2 linked regions of the Xenopus tropicalis genome follow. Each later gene encodes a partner of the first gene's protein in a complex. Links are inferred from orthologs where the notes say so. Each region holds a gene or a part of one and is shown on either strand. Other genes may lie near its edges.

Region 1 (5,728 bases):
GTCTCCTCTTCCTCCTGAAGCTGTGTACAGGAATCCTTTCCCGGCTGGCCAGCCAGACTAGAAAGAAAGATATCAGTGCTGCTCTGCATTCTGCAAGGGCAGGGAAGCAGAGTGGGGTTGTCTGCTCTAGCTATACGCATTAAAGGAATAGTTAAGGAAAGTATAGCAGTAGTTAGCATTGTTATAGTTGCTCTATGAGCGAGAGGCAGAATTAGGCTATTTAGAAGGGCATCTCAAGGCCCCAACAAGGAGGATAGAGGGTTAGTATCATTGTGGTGTAAAGACCGCTAGCACAGGAACATAAGTGGCCTAGCTTAGGGTAGAAAGGTTGCTCTGTGAGCAAGATATCACTGCAAGCCCTTTTCTGCTGAGTGTAGGATCACCAAGACAGGCAGTACTGCTTCTAAGGAGGAAGTTTATTAGATGTGTCTCACCAGTGAGGGGTACCATCAATTGGGAAAAGTATTGAGTGAGTACCAAATTTCTTTTATAATTGTTACAATTGCTGGATAGCAGCCTGCTTTGGATAACAAAGAAGTTAATTTGTCTGAAGCAACCCCTGGATTGCTGTTATTTTCACACCTTGACAATCTATCTAAGAGTAAAGGGATAAAATAATATCATTATACAGTGTGGGGAGTTCTGGGAGTTTCCCACAGCCCAGGGGTACACTGTCAGTGTATCACACTTTTAGACGCTCTTTCAGGTGTGCTACATATATAAACACAAGTCCCTGCATGCAGCCATATAACTATATAAATGTCAGTGGAGCTTTGTTTGGTGCTCCTGCATTTATAAGAGGGAACATATAATTTTAACAGATCATAATCCAAAAAGGCATAAATGTGCAGTGGTGTTGATGCTTTTAATTCAGATCACAGCACTATAAATAAATGACACTTATACAGAGCTAGCAATAAACATTTCTTAAGGTACTTTGTAATTCATCAAGCTTGTCAAGCAGTACAATACTTACTTAAAATACAGCTTCTGCAGATTGTTGATATAAAATGAGTAAGCTTTCTTGAGTAATTCTGAAGACACCTGCAATATAAAATATAGGAAAATTAAGAAATGGAAATCTTCCAGTTTATATGCTTTAAATGCTTGATTGCTATATAAATTTGAGACACAAAACTAAAATGTGACTGCACCCTCTAGTGAAAATAAAGAGAAGTTGAAACTAAGATGTAAGACATACAGGGCCGCCTGTTACTTACCAGTTGATCTTCATCTCTTCCAAAAAGATATTCTAGATAGCTTCCTGTCATTGCCTTAAATTTAGGTTTTTTTGCTTCTTCTATAAATGCATCCCTGTTGGATAATTAATGACATTGAATGCTTAATCTGGCAAAATAAATTACTAAAACCAGTTCTTGAGATCTTAAAAACTGTGACACACGAGATTTGTCGCCCCGTAAATAATTTCCTCTATTGGTGGTGACTAATCTCTTCTAATGCTTTCATATTGGCAATAATGTAAATTGGCGGTAGAAAATACATATGTTTTGCCTCAGATTTCCAAAGTTGCCTGAAGTTTCCTTGCGAAAGCCAAAACAACGCATATGTTTTCCTACTGGCAATTTATGTTCTTCTTGGTAGGAGAGCTTGTCAGGTAAATTAGGAGAGCTTATTGCATGTTCTGAAAATTATGATATAATTGGTATCACTGAGACCTGGTGGGATGAAATTTGTGACTGGGCTGTGAATTTAAATGGTTACACCCTATTTATGAAGGATATAGGGATTAGAGATGGTAGAGGAGTTTGTCTGTATGTAAAACCAGAATTAAAGCCTTGCGCTAAAACATTTACCAGGAACAGCAGTGGGGAGGGTGTTAAATCCCTTTGGGTAGATTTTTCAGCAGGGCTTAAGGTTACAAAGAAACTTATCATTGGTGTATGGTTTAAACCTCTCCGTATAAATGAGGAGAATGAAGCCCAGCTGCTATAATAAATTTAGGAGGACTCACAACTAGTCAAGTTGTTATTATGGGCGACTTTAATTATCCAGAGATTGACTGAAGTAATGGGGTGGCCAAGCAGAAAAAGTTAGCAGGTTTGTAAACATGCTAAATTACAACTTTTTATTTAAGGCAGTTCAAGAACCTACTAGAAAATATTCTCTTTTGGACCTGGTAATAACTAATAAAGCAGAACTTATCTCTAGCATTTATGTGGGTAAGCATTTAGAGAAAAGTGGTCATAACATGGTCTCCTTCGAGATTATGTTGCAAAGACAGCTCTATAAGGGAGTGACTAAAATTTTAGATGTGCAATATTTCTCAGTATAAGGGTATATCTGCAACATATTAACTGGGAAAGGATTTTCACAGGGTTAAACACAGAAGGAAAATTATATATCTTAAAAATGTTGTGTAAGTATATATGTCATTATCATCCCCTTGTAAGCAAGGAGAGACATTGCAAAGCAAAACCTTTATGGGTTGATAAAAGTGTTAGTGTCAAGGTTGGTAAGAAAAAATGTTCAAAATTCAAGTTAGCTGCACTTTCATCAAGCACAAGGAAGCCAATAAAGCATGTAAAAAAACAAGCAATGAGATGGGAATGGTTATTGCAGCAGGAGTAAAATGAATCCAGAATTATTTTTTAAATAAGTAAATAGTAAAATAAATGAAGCAAGAAAAGGTGGGACCCTTGTTATCACAGGGGAGTCAGTCGGTTGATGAGAACAGGGGAAAAAGCAAAAATTCTGAACTCTTATTTTCTTTAAAGGACAAGGAAAGGCAAAGTCACTTGGGGGTGCCAAAATGTTAGGCACCCCCAAGTGACTTTAATCGTTTACCTTGTACCCCGGGCTGGTGCTCCTGTTAGGAGAAAACAGCACCAGCCCGGGGTACCTGGAGCGATGCGCTTCCTCCTCCCTTCCGACTTCTCTGTTAAAGTTCGGCTTTTCACTGTACTGCGCATGCACGCGCTCGCGAACCAGGAAGAAGGAAGCGCTGCAACTACCCCGGGCTGGTGCTGTTCTCTCCCAACAGGGGCACCAGCCCGGGGTAAAAGATAGGCGATTAAAGTCACTTGGGGGTGCCTAACATTTTGGTACCCCCAAGTTACTTTGCCTTTCCATGTCCTTTAACCCTTTTACTGCCAGCCATTTTGGTCAAAGCGGAACTTGTATTGCCAGACAGTTTTTGAACATTTTGCACTGTTTCACTTTAGGGGCCTTTCCTCGGGGGGACTTTTAGTTTACCCAGGAAAACAATATATCGTTTTTTTCAGAACAACCTAAGCTTTCAAAATATGGTAGAATTTTTGTGTAATTCCAATTCTGTAACAAGATATAGGCTTCTAAATGTCTAAAAATGCAAAAAAAAATCAAATTTTCCATAATATAATCACACATACTAGAAACAAAAATTATTTTATGCACGAATATACAACTGATTTGGAAAGTCCCATGTCTCCTGAACGTGCCAATACCAAATATATATAGTTTTATGGAGATTTCTCACTTGTATAGGTCAAAAACTCCCAGCAGTACACTACCAAATTTCCAAAGCACTACTCCAGAAAGCTGCATACTTTAGATTTCAAGGCCAAAAATTCCACTAACAGAAGGTTTATCCCAGAAAATTGTACATTTTTGGAAAGAACAGATTCTGGGGAATACAGAATAGGCACAATGCTTTCCTAAAGTTATTGGTTTTTATCAGAATTTGTGATTTTTTTAAAAAATCGCTTCAAAGCTTCCAGTCTATAGTATCTTATCTCCTACAGGTCATAAAGTAACCAAATAAAACACCCTAAATATGAACGCCAGGGGTCCACTGAACAGTTTGATGCCCAATATGTATAGGTTTACTTAAGTATGTGGCATGTAGGGGCCCCAATGTGAACATACCCCATATGTACTGTCATTTCTGTCATTTCAGCTCCTGCAAAATCAACACATTTACATCATTATATGTGGGATAAAGCTAGTAAAAAGTACGCTCACCCCAGAAAGTCATATATTTTTGGAAAGTACACATTCCCCCGAATCTAAAATGGGTAACCATGTCTTTCTACTCCAAAGTACCAAGCCGCACAGCTTTTCTAAAGTTAGCAATTTTGATGACATTTCCAAAAATCCCCTCAAAGCTTCCACTTTGCAGCATCTTATCTCCCACATAGCATTAGTTACCAAGATAAAACACCCTGAATTTGAACACCAGGGGTCCACTGAACAGTTTGATGCCCAATATGTATAGGTTTACCTAAGTATGTGGCATGTAGGGGCCCCAATGGGAACATACCCCCATATGTACTGTCATTTCTGTCATTTCAGCTCCTGCAAAATCAACACATTTACATCATTATATGTGGGATAAAGCTAGTAAAAAGTACGCTCACCCCAGAAAGTCATATATTTTTGGAAAGTACACATTCCCCCGAATCTATAATGGGTAAACATTTCTTCTTGCTTCAAAGCACCAAGCTGTAAAGCTTTCCTAAGTTTGCAGATTTATATGACATTTCGAAAATCTCATAAAAATGTTGCAATTTGCCGCATTTATCTCTCACAATTTCTTGATAAAAATCAGATAAAGACAAATCACCCCAAATAGGAACACCTATGGTCTACTGAACAGTTTGATGCCCAATATGCATAGATATACCAAAGTCTGCGGTATGTACTGAACCCAAAATGAAAATAGCGCATAAGGATTTCTCGCCTGCCAACTCAGCTTTTGCACACAGAGCCCCCTGACAGTGTATTATGTGCCAAAACTTCCCCTAACTATACAGAGACCCCCACAAAACCATATATTTTTGGAAAGTACACATTCTGACAAATCCAACAAGGGTAAAGAGTCCTTTCTACACCAAAGTACCAATCTGCAAAGCTTTCCTAAAGTTATTGGTTTTTATGACATTTCAGAAAATCGCCTAAAAATGTTGCAATTTGCCGCATTTATCTCACACAATTTCTTGAGTACAAAGGCAAGTCACCCCAAATAGGAACACCTAAGATCTACTGAACAGTTTGATGCCCAATATGCATAGATATACCAAAGTCTGTGGTGTGTACTGACCCCAAAACGAAAATAGCGCATATGGATTTCTCGCCTGCCAACTCAGCTTTTGCACACAGAGCCCCCTGTCAGCGTATTATGTGCCGAAACGTCCCCTAACTATACAGAGACCCCCAGAAAACCATATATTTTTGGAAAGTACACATTCTGATGAATTCAAAATAGGCAAAGTTATTTTTGTATACCAAAGTTACACCTGGCAAAGCTATGCTAAAAACAGATTAGGAACACTTATACAGGGATAAAATGTGATAAAACCACAAAAATTGTGCAAATCAGTGAAACAACAAAATAAGTCACATGACAGTGTAATTAGTGGTCAGAATATCTAATCTAATAGTCACGCTGTCAAAATAAACAGTTTTTAGGTAAAATAAACTAAAAACAAAGTGGTAAAATGAAAAAAAAAAAAAAAAAAAACCCAAAGTGTTTGTGTATACATGTGTAAAAGTTGTGTGATAGTGTGTAAGTGTGTATATGAGTGTATAAAAGTGTGAAAAATTAAAAAAAAAAAAAAATTGCTAAAATGTGTGCTGTAAGTGTGTGTAAATGTATGTAAGTGTGTATAAATGTATGTAAATGTGTGTCTAAGTGTGTAAATGCAAGAATAAAAAAAAAAGTCCTTACCTGTCCTGAAGACACGATCCTCTTCAGTTGGGCCGGCGCTGGGGGGGAAGTAGGAAGCAGGAA
Region 2 (6,461 bases), on another chromosome or scaffold:
TTTATACTAGCACATGAAAAACTTGTTTTCTTTGTTTGCTTACTGTTGGGGCCTTGTTAATGGCCTGATTTGTTCTTTTCCTAAAATTATTCAATACACTTTTGTGGCTGGGTTTATTTTGTAAACTTAAAACAACAGCTTCTACCTGAATGTGCCCCATTGACTTTTAAATGATAATTCATAACTTTGTGTAACTAGGGGCCCCTGACCAAAGTTCCCTCTATATTTCCCCGATGGCAGCCCTACCTTTATAACTTTATGTAATGGATGATCCCGAGTCACGATGTATGATGCTAATTTACATGTAATGACAACAGCAAAGCTTTTTAAATATGCTATCATCCTGACTACGGTGTTCTGGTGATCAAAATAAGTTGTGTGCATTCTAAATATGTGAATTATTTTATATTTGCTTTATACTTTTATAATTATGTATTATATGAGTAAATGTAGAATAAGCGGCCTCATTGTAATGGCAAACTTTTAGAGAGTGCTAGGGTGAAGTTCACCAGAGAGAAATTTCACAGCTCTGTATTCACTTGCAATGATATATGGGGGGAGTGTTTATGAAAAAATAAACTTCTTAGTGTCAAGCCTTGACAAACATGCCTTAGAAAAAGCTCCTATACATGTGAGAGTGTGAAATGTGGCAAACTATTTTTACCCTTTGTAAAAATATACCCCTTGCTAGCCTATTTTGTTTCACTCCTGAGGCTTAGCTCATTTGGGCCAGAATCTATCTCCTTGTTGTTACCCAAGTGATTCTGTAAAACTTCAACTTCCAACGTTGCCTTGCGGTACTGGTCGTCTACTGAGCCTGAGGGGGGAAAAATCCATTAGAATTATGGCATAAATCCAAAAAAAAGACATAAGAACTGAACTACAAATACTTATAAATCTACGATGAAGAGAGTCTCATTTCTCTTACTTGTTCCATTCTTTGTTTTCTTCCCCTTTTTCTTTTGAGATTTTCCCTTCTGCTTTGGTGGCATATCTATAAAAGAGATATAATAGTCTGAGTCATAGGATTGAAAGATGCAAAGGCACAAGAAGAAAATAATTTTGGAGAAAAAAACTACCATGTGCCCCTTGAAAGGTTCATGTGGAATTTCAATCCTGCAAACTAATACATACTAATAATTGCCAATGCACAAATTATGGCCTATGTAAAATATTAAATTAATATTGAAAAATTAGCACCACACATCCCCCAAAATATTTAAGTTTACTTGTCACACTAAGGCCCCTCATTATATGTGAGTTCTTCACTGCCTTATTTTATTGTAAAACCATGTTCTCTTACCCTTAGCACAGGAACACTAGTGAGACTAGTAGGGAAGGACCCCACCTAACATAACTATACACCTATGAATGAAGACTATATAAATAGCAAACAAATCTTAACATGTATGACCACCTTAACAAAATTAACTGAAATAGCTTAAGGCCATGGTACTAAATATAATTCAAGATGATGACAGATGTGCTACTTGTTCCATATTATTGCTAAATCATTTATAATTTAGATGACTAGATTAATGTTTACAAACTGTCCAGTAAATTAGTACAACAGATCACACAGAATATTGGAGAATATTGCCTTGAGCTCCACACACTGGGAAATCTGCGGGTGCACATCAAGGCTCTTTGCTGTCCAAGAAGGCAGATCTGATGCTTCCAACCCCTTATGTTTCCATCACCTGTACATACATTTTCTTCTCTCAGACTGGGTATTGGTCAGCGGAGATTGCAGTTGCATGTAAATGGAGAAAGCTATTGGGAATTCTCCATGTAAAATTACAGGAGTATTTTTTGCCACCCCTGGAAAAGGAGAGACTTCTCACCTTGCCTTATGGCAAAAGGACCCATGGAAACTTGTGTCCACTGGATGCAGTTTAGAGGATTTGTACCCGGTTTTTAACTGAATCTGAATCCTTGAAATACAGGGCTGGTGGCAACCCTACAGCACAACAATACTTAAATGCAAAGAATTTCACTGGACTATAATAATTATAATTGATTTTTTTGTGCAAGACATAAGTACACTATATATATATATGTTTGTGTTTATATATACTATGGGGCACATTTACTAACCCACGAACGGGCCGAATGCGTCCGATTGCGTTTTTTTCGTAATGATCGGTAATTTTGCGATTTTTTCGTATTTTACGATTTTTTCGTAAAAACGCGAGTTTTTCTTAGCCATTACGAAAGTTGCACAAAGTCGCGATTTTTTCGTAGCGTTAAAACTTGCGCGAAACGTCGCGCCTTTTAAGTTTTAACGCTACGAAAAAGGCGCGACTTTGCGCAACTTTCGTAATGGCTACGAAAAACTCGCGTTTTTACGCAAAAATCGTAAAGACGCTGAAAAAATCGAAAAAAATACGAAAAAATCACAAAATTACCGAAAAAGTCGCAAAAAAAATGTTCATTTCCAATCGGAATTTTTCCAATTTGGATTCGAAATCGTGTCTTAGTAAATCAGCCCCTATATGTATAACACAGAAGTGCCATGAATATCATATAATTATATCCTTAAAAATTATGCTTAGTGATGGCATCAGTTATAACGATGCTTAATGATGTAATTTCTGACACATGGCTCACTGAAACTTGTGTATTTATAATAACTAAATGTATCCACTGTTGTAAAATAAGAGGATATAAGAACTCATGGTCACGAAACTCCTCTGTGGAATGGCTATCCTTATATTTTAAAAAAGAGGGTACATTATTCACTATATATATGTGTGTGTGTGTGTTAAGCAATATTATAGTAAAAATCAGACAGTGAAAAATGTTGCATTGTATTAATAAAAATAGTTTGGACACCAATCTAGTGCTCATTTATGAACAAAAGTGCAATGCTCTAGGAACAAAAATGTATATGCCAGTATAATAGTTGGCACTCAAAGAACAGCATGCTCTTCAGCTTGTGATTTACCACGGCAGGTTTATATTAGAAAACATTTGGATTCGGTTCAGCCAGGAGTGTGGATTTGGCCGAATCTTGGCTGAATCCCTAACTGAATCCTGGATTTGGTGCATCCCTAGAAATTAGTTTTGTGTGTTGATGTAACATGTAAAGAAGTCCTAAAAGTAACACCTCCTCAACTTCTGTATAGTTGCGCCAAGCACCACTGTGTCATTCCTCATCCTGCTTATTGTGATGAACCAAAGTGCAATAGAATTGTGACAAAAGAACTAAACACTAACGTAATTTTAATGCTGACTCTCGGAAGTGATGCAATCCTAACTCTTAAAAAATGTTAGCTGCACTGCTCAATTCTGTTTGTTTTGACACAGCATGTGCAAGTTGCTGTGTGCCCACAATTAAGTTTGAATTAAAAAACATGGTGATTTGCATCAAAAACTGCACGCTGAACTTAAGGTTGTAAATGACCTCTTACATTTCAATCCATTGCAAAGTAGTTTTGCAGCATTGCATAGTTAGGAGCCATTCAACCCTGCTCTGTATGCTTATCATAAGATATCCTATATCTGATTACCTTTCGTTGCAAACTGATTATTTTCTGATTCTGTCTCTCATTAGATGCAGGTATCCAGTCAGGCCTAGAGCAACACTGAAGAGCCTGAGGATAGTGGAGACATAGCAACTGCAGGGGCTGCCCATGATAACGATGCCATCTTCCTTTTCCACATGCTGCCTTTCCAAATACGCAACTCTATAACATACTGTATTTTAAACAGCAAATATCAGCAAGTGGCCCTTACCTGCAATGAATCCTGTTCAGCAGAACAACAAAGTGATATTCACTGAGAAATGCTTACCCAGCAGGAAGACACTTTAAGATCCTGCCCACAAACCTTGCCCAGCCGATTCAGAGAGAATTGTATACAAAAGGTTGCTAGGTTTCTGTAATGGTAACAAAAGATGTATAACAACAAGGTACCGGTAAATCTCTGAGAAGAGACAAAAACAAGAAATTTGTTAATGCAAATCACCTTAATAAAAAGAACAAAACAAAACATATTAAAGATTCAGAGTCTGAACTTAAAGGTAATCTATACCCGTAAAATGTTTTTTGTATAATGAAATAAAAAACATCTCTATGCTATCCTACACTCCCAGCTTTCCATTATGTGTGTATAAGGTATTTATAGTAGAAATATCATTTTCAGTAGCAATGACATTTACAAATAACTTTAAGGGTTCTGGCACACGGGGAGATTAGGGCGACTAATCTCCCCATGTGCCAGAGCCCTAAGACCGCTGAACATTTGAAATGTAATGTATAATGTAAAATTGCTTTAAATTAAATCTTCTTAAATTATGCTAAATGTTTTTGGGTTTAGATCCTCTCTGGGTAAAGACACGTGGAGCTATTTAGTAGCAGCTACTTGTGACGGCTACTAAACCCCAGAAAATACCCTGCCAAAGACAATACTGAGAATTGCCTCTGCTAAACCACACTTAGGGGCACATTTACTAATCCACGAACGTCCGAATGCGTTTTTCCGTAATGATCGGTATTTTCTGCGAATTGTCAAGACTTTTTCGTCGCCGTCACAACTTTTTCACAAATTGTCGTGACTATTTCGTCGCCGTCGCGAAAAAATCGGATTGGTTCAATACGTATTGCTCAATACAAAAAAACCGCGATGGCGACTAAAAAGTCGCACAAAATATGATAGCCGTGACGGCGACGAAAAAATCACGCAAAATACGAAAAAAAAACGCGATGGCGATGAAAAAGTTGCAAGATTTTCATTTCCAATTCGATTTTTTCCCATTCGGGATTCGGATTTGTGGATTAGTAAATGTGTCCCTTAGAGACAATTATCAGTAAATGATCAGTATTGGTTATTCCTGTAGCCATGTCAAGTAGCTGATACTAGGCGCTCTGAGTGTCTTCAACCTTACAATGAATTTTACAGAACCTTCAGTATAAGACTGCTTACATGTGTGCAAAAAAACAGGTGTAACTACTGAGGAAGCAGATGCTGTGGTTGCAGGGGGGCCCAGTAGTGTAGAGGGCCCAATAAGTCATTCATTAATGAGAAAAGGTAAACTTACCAAAGTTTTGGAGTCCTAAACTGTGTGCACACTTGGAAATAAGGCAGCACATTTATTATACTATTTTGGCTTACTAATGCCATATATATTATAAAATTGCTTCATATCTTTTTGTACAGAAACATTGGTTGTACTGAGAACCATTACGTGTTATTGGTTTCTCTGCTTCTCACCAGGGAACAACTGTAAACCACACTGACGTGCAGTGTGAAAAAAACAATTTTAGACAAAAGTCGCGGTGTACTTTACTTACAATGCAGAACACCAGAAATGAAGCCAGCAAAGAGAACTGTTTAAAATTGCACTTGACTCACTGCACTTGTGGATGTACATGAGCCCTTAGGTGTAGGCAATGCAACTGCCATGTTTTTTTCCAACAATGCAGCATTTTTTCCTGTAATTCTGGCGTCACTGCAGTTGCAAAGGGGTGATTCTCTTGACACAATTGCAATGCACCTACCACAATTGTATAAGAAGGCACAGCAGCGCCTGATTCAGAACGCAAGGCAGAAGAGTGGTACCTAGCACAACTATACAGGACTGCAAGGAGTGCATTTAGGCTGACTGCAGGGATATTGCATTGACCTCAACTTTTGTGGATTTAGGCAACTTGTCATTTCTTATCCAGCAAAGCAAACTGGTTTTTACCTTTAGCAGTGCTTATGAGGTGCTGTGAATATTATGGAAAAAAAATTGTTTTTTTTTCCTGAGTAGAATTTCTCTCCTTCCATGATTGCAATAAATAAATATAAAGAATAGATACGTGTTGAACTCATGTTTACTTAGTTACAGTTCGAAGAATCCCTTAATGCTAGGAGCTGTTGTTGAACAAGCTGGAAACCTACATGTTATTATTACACATTACAACACCACACTTTAAGTAAAGGGGCTGCAACTAATGGGAATTTACAAAAAAAGGTTAATTTTACTGCAGCGTAATGTCCTACACAAAGCAACCAGGCTTTTGTTTTATAGCACTGGTGGCACATGCAGAATGGTTTCATTCTATTAGGCCAGTTTCTGATTAACTAAATTGCAACCTGCATGTGTAGTGGCTTCCAAATGAAGAAAATGCCCCAACAAAAGAAAACATTAAAAAAGCAGAGTGGTAAAAATGTAAAAGAATGAGGATGTTGGCCATACACATATAAACAAAATGGCAGAATGTTTTGTATGATTTTTGGTACATGACTGCTGGCCAAACAAAGCCAACTAATATCTATGTACCGTGGATATCGGTATGTTTGCCAGTATTGATAATATCATCTGCCATTGTACTTCCTGCTGTTGTTTGTTTAGACCAAATCTGCTATACATAGTCATGAGCGCCCTAAACCCACCTGATCCTTACCACCCGAACTACACCACTTTTGTGGCAGTCCAGGCACCCCGCATAGACAAGACCTCTGACAGCAGTTAT

Evidence for each region.
Region 2: fbxl13 (region 1) and ccdc153 share a complex: the UniProt entries of both Homo sapiens proteins name them as parts of the nexin-dynein regulatory complex. The link is inferred for Xenopus tropicalis from reciprocal best matches to the Homo sapiens genes FBXL13 and DRC12.

The regions. Positions count from the first base shown.
Region 1 is NC_030679.2:77,929,194-77,934,921, reverse strand, and holds part of fbxl13 (dynein regulatory complex subunit 6), read right to left. Parts: intron 1,315-5,728; coding exon 1,221-1,314; intron 1,045-1,220; coding exon 977-1,044; intron 1-976. UniProt on the Homo sapiens protein: Substrate-recognition component of the SCF (SKP1-CUL1-F-box protein)-type E3 ubiquitin ligase complex.
Region 2 is NC_030683.2:80,325,160-80,331,620, reverse strand, and holds the start of ccdc153 (coiled-coil domain-containing protein 153), read right to left. Parts: upstream 3,928-6,461; 5' UTR 3,739-3,927; intron 3,689-3,738; exon of another isoform or gene 3,513-3,688; intron 995-3,512; 5' UTR 993-994; coding exon 929-992; intron 818-928; coding exon 755-817; intron 1-754. UniProt on the Homo sapiens protein: Component of the nexin-dynein regulatory complex (N-DRC), a key regulator of ciliary/flagellar motility which maintains the alignment and integrity of the distal axoneme and regulates microtubule sliding in motile axonemes.